3 separate regions of the Mus musculus genome follow, and regions 2 and 3 are each reported to be linked to region 1. The links are microRNA targets in miRTarBase. Many come from high-throughput screens and were not tested one by one. Region 1 holds a microRNA gene; each other region holds the end of a gene's coding sequence.

Evidence for each region. Region 1 holds the annotated microRNA mmu-miR-425-5p (AAUGACACGAUCACUCCCGUUGA, at 2,040-2,062, shown strand). A microRNA usually pairs through its seed, bases 2 to 8, with sites in the 3' UTR of a target mRNA and lowers its output. Matches are read on the target gene's strand: a 7mer-m8 pairs with bases 2 to 8, a 7mer-A1 pairs with bases 2 to 7 and ends in A, and an 8mer does both.
Region 2: miRTarBase lists Echdc2 as a target of mmu-miR-425-5p. The part of its 3' UTR that is shown has no 7-base or 8-base seed match.
Region 3: the mRNA of Fem1c is a reported target of mmu-miR-425-5p. Seed matches in the 3' UTR shown: 7mer-A1 at 502-508.

What each region holds. Positions count from the first base shown.
Region 1 is chr9:108,566,750-108,569,933 of GRCm38, forward strand. It overlaps Mir425 (microRNA 425), which reads left to right and starts at 2,028; the gene lies at 2,028-2,112. It overlaps Ndufaf3 (NADH:ubiquinone oxidoreductase complex assembly factor 3), which reads right to left and starts at 687. Exons shown (of 5, transcript NM_023247.2): 1 at 102-687; 2 at 1-2. The coding sequence starts at 178. Mir191 (microRNA 191) reads left to right here and starts at 1,570; the gene lies at 1,570-1,643. Dalrd3 (DALR anticodon binding domain containing 3) reads left to right here and starts at 3,143. Exons shown (of 12, transcript NM_026378.3): 1 at 3,143-3,184. The coding sequence starts at 3,162.
Region 2 is chr4:108,178,789-108,181,788 of GRCm38, forward strand. Echdc2 (enoyl Coenzyme A hydratase domain containing 2) reads left to right here. Exons shown (of 10, transcript NM_026728.4): 10 at 119-520. The coding sequence ends at 196. It also overlaps a transcript of Zyg11a not described here. Among named protein-coding and RNA genes, the nearest start is that of Echdc2, 15 kb to the left of the region's middle.
Region 3 is chr18:46,502,374-46,505,373 of GRCm38, reverse strand. Fem1c (fem 1 homolog c) reads left to right here. Exons shown (of 3, transcript NM_173423.4): 3 at 1-768. The coding sequence ends at 294. Among named protein-coding and RNA genes, the nearest start is that of Fem1c, 22 kb to the left of the region's middle.

The DNA.
Region 1 (3,184 bases):
TCCTGCGGAGGGCTAAAGTCAGGAAGTCGTGGCCCGGCCGGACTATGCGGGATTGAAAGGTCCGAGGCCAAGTGGTCAGAGGCTGGACAGGGGATGCTCACCACAGCCGGTCGACGTGCCGACAGAGCGGCGCAGGTCGCGTTCGGAAAAGGCAGCGAAATCCTAGAGCAGTAGCCATGGCTGCAACGGCGCTTAACGACCCGGTCGTAGGGACAGAGTTGTCTGTCTCAAAGTAGCCACAGCGCCCCTTGCGTCCCGGAGGGCACCGCGCACCTTGAACGGCGCAGTAGGCCAATGCAGAGCCTCTGTCTCCCCATGCGGGTGTGTCAGCACCTGTCGCCCACCCCGCCCCATGCCTCCAGCGACAGTCCCTAAGGAGGAGGGGGAAAAACACCTGCTAGTACGGGCGCCCTAAGGGTATTGTTTAGGCCACTGCCGCGGCCTGTTCCTGGGATTCTCAGCCATTATTCGGGCTCCCAGGGACCAGGGCGGGGCAGCTGCGCACCTGGTCCTGTTATGAACACCTGGCCAGGGTGTGGTGCCAGCCTCCAGGCCCTTAATCCCAGGCTTTGGAGAATCGGGCTCCGGGGGCGGGGCAGATGGCTAAAATTTCCCTAGCTAGTCTCGAAATCGCTGCTTTCCCCAACCGTCACCAGCGCGACCGTTGGCGACGGCGCAGCGCTCCATGAGAGGCGTGGCCGAGCATGGATTGGCTTCCCGGCAGCGCGAGGGGGTGTGGCCAGATGGTTTCTCCTTAAAATGGCTCCAAGTCTGGGGACAGCTAGAGCCAGCGGAAGGGCACGCCGTGGCAGTGCTGGAGTAGCTGTTCGAGTGGGACTGACTGGGCCAAACCGGACCAGACGTGAAGTAGACCGCGCCTGGAGCACCACCCCGCCCTTGCGCGCTCTGCGCGCGCGTACCGAGAGTCTCCCTCCCCCTGTCTTGAGCTGAGTCTAGGGCCTACTGGCGCATGAGTCCTTGGCGTCCCGCGGCATGGGCATCTCTGCGCACCGGTTCTGTCCTGGCCTCAGAGGAACTTTGTCGCGTTCTCTATCCGCTGGACTAGACGGGTGGGATGCTTGACACAAATGGGGCTTGGCTGTGGGGTTCTTTGCAGGGCCGGTTGCAATGGGCTTGGGGGGAGGCTGTCCTGCCGCTGCTATGTGGGCCAGTTTGGCCCCTGGCACTTCATGAGCTGGCACCGTCACCAGACAAAAGGTCCTAAGCTTTGGGGAGTCCCAGAAGTGGACACATGGGTTTACTTCCTCTCGGGTCTCACGGAATCGCTTCCCTCTTGACGGATTCCGAAGCCTGCCCGGTACAAGTGGCTCCTGCTTGGGACTCACAGGGCTAATCCAGCCCTTCTGATCTAATCCGGATCAGGACCTCGTCCCGGGGGATGCCCCCACCTTCTATTGTTCTGGGGCCCAGGTGAGCGTCTCATTCTCACTAGACTGGTTTAAAACACCTACTCCTTCCTACTCAGCCCACTGGGAAGGGATGGGCGGGTTCCGGTTTGGCCTCAGGGCGAGTGACCTGGGAGCAAGAGCCCTCCTCCAATGGCTGGACAGCGGGCAACGGAATCCCAAAAGCAGCTGTTGTCTCCAGAGCATTCCAGCTGCACTTGGATTTCGTTCCCTGCTCTCCTGCCTGAGCAGCGCCCTGGCCCAGATAATGTGGTCTCTATTCTCAGAAACACTACACTACTGGGCCATTCTGATCTCCATCTCTCAGGTGCACCCCCAGACTGATGGTGGCAGTCAGAGGCGACGAAAAAAGCTCGGGCTGATGGCCCTGTCTGGAATCCCTGGAGAACTCTGACCAGGGAGGTCCTGGGTCCTCTCTCTGAAGGGCCGCAATGGCGGTGAGTCCCACAAGGCCGCCCAGCCCGCAGCTCGCTAAAGATAGATCTTCACTTCCTGGGGAAAACCCACCCCAACCGTCTTCATGGAGGGAGAGTAGCTAAAATCACCAACTTGCTGGTGGGTCCCAGCCCTGCTAGCAGCTGAACCCACACCACAGCATGGAAAGTGCTTTGGAATGACACGATCACTCCCGTTGAGTGGGCACCCAAGAAGCCATCGGGAATGTCGTGTCCGCCCAGTGCTCTTTCGGCACCTCCCAAACAGGGCCTCATAGCCCCGGCCTTCCCGAACTTTTCCTATCTCTAGATGTCACTCCTCTCCGGAGCAAAGTTCACCGGTTGGATTCATTCATTACTGGGGGAAGTGGAGTTTCACGTTACTTGGAAACGAAAGAGTTTGGACATAGAAAAGCTCACCTGCAGCTTGCTCTACCTGAGAGCTCTGCTTATTTGGGTCTTCTCATCATCACATTTGTCTTAAACTGACCAGTTGCCTAAAGAACCAAAGGTGCCGGTAACACCAGTTTAAAGGAAAAACATTAAAGGCTGGTAATCCTGGAATCATGATGACTAATTCCTCGGGTATCAAGATGGGCAATTCTATCCGATTGGGCTTTTACTGGGAATAAAGACATTCCATACCGCAGCCGAGGAAAGGCGTACCAATAATCAGAACTCAAATTTTGCTTTGTTTCGTTACTTTTCCAAGTAGGCGGTAAAGAGTCTTTAATGGAAGACACGAGTGGTGGCACACACCTTTAATCCCAGTACTCAGGAGGCAGAGGCAGGTGGATTTCTGAGTTCAAGGACTTTCTGGTCTACAAAGAGTTCCAGGACAGCCATGGCTACACAGTGAAACCCTGTCTTGAAAAACAAAGTGTCATTAATGGTACAGCCTTATTCCTTTGACATTTCGTCTCGTGCGTCTGGCCTTTAATTTGTTTAAATGGGGCAGAAAAAGAAAAAAGAGACATAAACACAAAGATGTGAAACTTTGGTGGCAAAGTGTCTTGCCTGGTAACAAAGATCCGTTATCAAAGTAATAATTCGGGGTGACGATTTTTTTAAAAAGGAGGAAAAATGGACCCTCAAATTTGGAGGTTAGGGCTCATGAATACAGGAAAGGCCATCGGGAGGGAGAGCTGGAGGCGTGGGTAGAATGTAAGCTCACTTGGCATGCTCGATCGCTCTGGTCCATTCAGGAGAGTCCACGGCCGGATCCCCGCCCCCGCCAGGCGGACCTCCCGGAAGCTCTACGGATAACTTACTTCCTGTTCCATTTAGTCTTCCGGTCGCCATGGCGACCGGGCGCCTTGGGGT
Region 2 (3,000 bases), not on the chromosome of region 1:
AGTGTCTGAGGCTCACAATGACCCAGATGTTGTCAGAGGTTAGATCTACTTATGCAATGGCCTTTTTTTGGCCTCTGGTCCTATTCCTCCCAAACTAATATCCATTGTATCTTTGCAGAACATCCCAACCCAGGACAGGCTGGAAGGAATGGCAGCCTTCAGGGAGAAACGAGCTCCCAAATTTGTGGGCAAGTGACCCAGCTAACTTTAAGCACACACCATAAAGTCTAGATCATCCAGAGAACCAAGGTACTGACCATGCAGTGCACTGCCACCTTCCATACTGCTCACCTTGGCTAGTGACTGGACTCTCTGCATTCAAAAACTTCGGGTCTTTGTCATTGGCTCTGATCACCATGGATAGAGCAATGAGGACTTACTTACTCTCACAGAGTTTCTTTGAGTTAGTGTCAGGAGCCCTCCAGCTCTCTGTAACGCAAGGGGAATTCTGGACAAACTATTTAACCTCTCTATCAGTCTCTCTGATATCCCTGTGTTAATAAACATGCTGCAACTGTTAGCTTGTGCTGGAATTGTTGGGGCTGGGATGCCTTGGGGGGTGGGGGGCAGGAAGACCTTTCTTTAGTAGTCTCCAGGAGCACTGACAAAGAGAAGAGACAGGGAATCAGGTGGGCAACAGTGGACCTGGTGCCTGCAGGACAAGCGGCATTTGAATTGGCACCAGCAAAGGTGAGTTGGAAGGTGTCAGCTTGGAAAATAAAGGGGATACAGAGTCAGCTCCTCAGACCTCTGCATACCTAAGTGCCTGCCTCCTCTCCTAGCAAGGTTGCCTAGGGATCACCCTCCACCAAGACCTGAGCTCTGGCTGAGCATCCTCAGCACAAGCTTGGTCTGGAGTCATGGAAGCATGGGTTGGGACACACACCAGCTATATTGCTGATGTGCTGCCAAAGCTTCAAGAGTCAGGGCCTTAGAATCAACACCATCCTCACAGCCAACCTTCCTGATCTGCTGAGTAAGCAGAGGACCCCAGTGGACTATTAGGAAAAACAAACTTGAAGGGGTACCCGGTATAGAAAGATGCTGTTGTGAGATAGAGAAAGAGACCGACCTTTTGGACAGGGATAGTATGAGAGCAAGATGTAGCTACCAGTGTCTCCTGGCTTCAATAGCAGATCTGAATAATAGATTCACCACCAAAGGATTTAGATTTAATAAGGCTTAGAAGATTAGGATTTTAGTTGCTGCCCTGAGCCAAGAGATTGGGTTACTGTCATTTCTGAACTAAGTTTGTATTGTGTTTTCCTTCACATGGCGGTTCATCTGGGTTCAAGAGAGAGAGCTCTAGATACATCCCACACCGGAGTGCAGGTCATGTTGATTCATTTATATGTATATGTCACAAAAATAGTTAAAATAAGGAACCTGTAAACTTGGGGGGGTGGGGGTGGAGACAAGAGGTGAGGTGTAGGGGAAAGAAAAGGGATGAGATAAATGATGGGATTATATTTTACTTAAATAAAAAAAGTAAAATGTCTTAGGAAAAGGGGGGGAGGATATGTTTTGGTGGATATGTTTGGTATCAGAGGAAGGTTTGGGGGAAGGAGGTGCCTCTGTGGACCCATGCTGGCATCCCTTCCCCCTGAGGTACCAGGTATAGTATAGAATACATTTAGGGTATGGCTAGGGGAGTAGCAGAGAGAGAGACCAGCCATGAGCATAAGGCTGGCTTACCTTCATCTCCTTCTCATTGCTGGGACTGTAGTCTAGAATGTGGCTTAGGATAGCTAAGGATGAGTTTCTTCCTCAGCTGATGCTCAAGTGAGTGAGTGAGTGAGTGACAGGGCTCGCTTGCTGCTCTTGAGCAGAGGACCCAAGCTTGGCTCCCAGCTGACACCTGCCTGTAACCCTTGCTCCAAATTCAATACTCTTTTGCCCTCTGCAGGTGCTTACTTGCACGCGTGCATGGATGTACACACAAACATGCGTGTACATACTAAGTCCGGACCACACTAGCTAAAAGCACAAAACTCTAACATCCAGGGCCTGCAGAGATGGCTCAGCAGTTAAGATCATCTGCTGCTCTTCCAGAGGACTGGGGTTTGGTTCCCAACACCCATGTGGTGGCCCCAGTTCCAGTCCTGACCTTAGTGGACACCAGGCTCAAACATGCAAAACTCTCTCTCTCTCTCTCTCTCTCACACACACACACACACACGCACAGAGGAATTTGCTATTTACTTCCATTCTTCAAAACTTGACTGAGTGAAAACTACTTCTCAACAGGGAAAGGAAGGCGTCCACACTCTGTTCCAGTTTTGCAGGACAGACTGGATGGTGTTCACTACTGCCAGGGATGGTTCTCATAAAACCACCCGCTTTGTGTCCACATCAGGAAAAGCATGCACTGAAATGTTCTGCAGTCTTTTTCTCTCAGCTTTGGTCAGAGCTTTTCCAAAGTGAGAATTTCCAATGTATTCTAACTTCAGTCCAGGCCTGCGCTTCAACCCCACACATTCACACACTCAATGATCTGATTCCTCAAATTGGAGGGAAAAGAACATTAAAGGCGCCAGGGTGTGGCAGCTCATGCTGGAAGCCCCAGCACTGAAACAGCAGGATTGCTGAGCTCAAGGCCAGTCTCGGCCACACATAACCTGGAGCAGCTGAGGAAATGGAACAAGACCAAGGTCTCCCTAAAGTTTCCTTCCCTCTTCTGAAGGAATAGAAAGGACCCAATCATTTCTTGTTTTCTCAAGACAGGGTTTTTCTGTGTAGCCCTGGCTGGACTCAAATCACAGAGATCCACCTGTCTCTGCCTTCCACGGCCCAGCCCAGGACCCAATCTTTTTGTCACAGAGAAAAGTAACCAGTCAATTGATAAATGCTAACAATTGGTAAACCCAAAAACTGGTTTCAAACTCCCATTGCTCAAAGACAAAAAGAAACCCTGTCTTTAAGAAGCAGCACCCCTGAAAGGCCGCTAGGTCACAAAGGGCCCTGGGGTTGTGGAGGTCTCCGGTCGCTTGTGAAGTGCAT
Region 3 (3,000 bases), not on the chromosome of region 1:
GTGAATGTCAGAGACTCTGATGACAACAGTCCCCTACATATCGCGGCTCTGAATAACCATCCAGACATCATGAATCTCCTTATTAAATCAGGTGCACATTTTGATGCCACAAACTTACACAAACAGACTGCCAGTGACTTGCTGGACGAGAAGGAGATAGCTAAAAATTTGATACAGCCCATAAATCATACCACATTGCAGTGTCTTGCTGCTCGTGTCATCGTGAATCATAGAATCTATTACAAAGGGAACATCCCAGAAAAGCTAGAGACCTTTGTTTCACTTCATAGATGATAATTTGATTGTGCTTCAGCACCGTTAAAGCACGGAGTGGGAACAGTTGTAATGAGCACTGTTGTGATAACACCAGCATCCATTAGCTTGATATCATTGCTCCCATTGGCTAAAGCATTGTAAGCATCAAATGTGCAGGGTTGGTTTCCCAGTGTTTAATATAAATATACCGTATAATATATTGTTGTGAATTATTGAGAAATGTCATGTCATATTCAAATTTCTAAAATTGTCTGCCAAAGGCCATTCTGATTTTGTTTGCTGTTGGGTGTTTGGGACAGAGTTAACTGTTTTTCAGTGATGTCTATATTTTACTAGTATGTGAATTTTATACAATTGGAAGTCATCCTCCCCTGGCTCCCACTTCTGTCTTCAAGTTTTGCCTGTTTCCACTTTTTCTCCCAAACCATTTCTGCTACAGTGTTCCCTGAACCGTTGGGTCCATGCTAAGTCATAAACCTTATGGACTTGTTTACCATTTGCAGTTACCATAAGTGCTTTATCTTCTCTATGCACCGGCTTAAACTGGGACTGTTGTGTGTTGGCATATTCTCTATGCAGCAGTTGGTCAACTTCAACTCAAAACACTGTTTCCTTACGTTCCGTTCCGGAGTCCATTTCACAAACGTACTCTCAGAGCATGTCGCTTTCTAGAGTTGCCGGTAAGCTGTTCGAGCTCAAGCTTTTTAAAATTTTATGTTTTGGTTTTGCTTTATTTTTTCACATCTGAGGTTTCTTTCTTCAGTCCACAGAAAATTTTGTATGCTAAATTTGGGAAACAAATCTATTACAAGTCATTAACCCAGTTGAAATTTAGGTCTGTCATCTTAGGCTAGCGTGCAGTAAAGGAAGACCTTTGTAGAGTGAACTGCCTTTCATACCGCTCCAGCGTCGTCTCCGGCGTCGTCCTGCTTGTGCTGATGGTGTGACTAGGTGTATCGAATCTGCTTCCGTTTAACCTCAGACGTTATCACACAGCCTAACGACTCACATTGAGCTCTCAGTCATGAACTGCAGACCACTTTTAGTTACAAAGAGGCTAGAGCATGTCAGTGGCATGATGCTTGCCAAGCCAGCCCTAGGCATCTAAGATAATTACGGTATTTTAGTATGCGGTGTACTGCCATAGGACCAGAGGTCAGTAACAGTGTTCTTTCTTTCTTGCTTCAGGTTTATGTATATCTGTTAAAGATAACGTGCATGAATTACTTTATCTCAATTATTTGTCACCCTATTAAACACAAGAGATTGCACAGTGATTTCTGTCCCCTTAATGAAAGCGCCTCCTTCTGTTCTCCTCTTCCCCTCCCTTCCACCTCCCTCCTCCCAGGTCCCCCCCCCCCCCCCCGTTTTTTTTCCTGTTGTAGATTTGTTAATGCTGCAGAAAGGGCTCCTTTGACTTAAGAGAAGATAAGTGGAAATGAAAAAGATTCAGGTAATCACTCAGCACTTTACCGTAATTCAGTAGAATCTACAATGACTGCTACATTGCCCTACATATGTCATAAAGAATTTGTTCTGAATGAAAAGCTTCTTGATTCTAGCAGAGAGTCAATTCGCCTGTGAACTTCACGATCTGGGCCACTTGGATTTAGGGATGACATTTTATTCTGAGGGTTGATGAACTGCCACTTAAAGAATTACATATAATGAAATTCGTCTTTATTCAGTAAACATTTGTAATGGGTAGTAAATAAAGAACATTAGACTTTTCATCAAACAATTGAGGTTTAATTCTTTAAAATGTATCCTTACTCATTTTACTACATTTTAAATTACATTTTACCTTTGGAAAATGGATTAGTTATCAATGGGCTCTTAAAATCGTTGATAAAAAAGGTTTTACTGTGTTTTTTTTACCATGGACAAGTCTGATAAAATATTTGAGCTGCTATATATAAGAATAATATGTCATTGAGACATATCCTAACAATATTTTGAAATTATCTCTCTCTAATGGGTGTCGTGAGAGTTATCTATGAGTGAGCCACTATTTTTATTTTTATATTTAAAAAGAAAATAAAACTTGTCCATTTTCATGAATCATCATTGGTTGATTTCACTTTTTGGGTAAAAGATGATAATTTGATTTTAGGGTTTAATGTCTTTCTCCCCTCTTTGCCCAGAAGAGTCTGGCTTACCCGCTCATAGAGCAGGGCACATCTTCACACTGTTTTACACATGCACTGGAATTTTCGTAGCCCTGTATGAATAAGGATATCTTTGCTAGTGGCTTCCTTCACTACGAATAGATAACAGAACTGGTTCTTACTTAGTCTTGAAAACTGCAGCATTGTATTGCAGTCAGGATGCAGCTCTCCCTCTTCTGTTTGCCTTCTCCAGAAATGTCCCTTGGAGCTCTTGAAAAAGCTGTTTAGTAGCTCAAATTAGCATTGAATTTATTTTAGAGTGAATTGGTTCAGGAGTGCAACCTCAGATAACTGTTAGGGCCTTCATCAGACATGTGTGAGACCGATTAAAATAAAATTCTGAAGTTTGTGTTTTGTTTTGTTTTTTTTGTCCATGGTGAGGAAATGATCTAATTGTACTCACTTGAATCAAACAATATACATGGTAGTATTGGCTGGAATTAATGTGCAGGTCTCAACATTGTTTCTCCAGAAATACTTCTGAATTTCAGACGTTCTACAATTTTGATCATTTCTGTAAAAGAAATGGTTATTTTATTCAGATACCAGTCTCCTT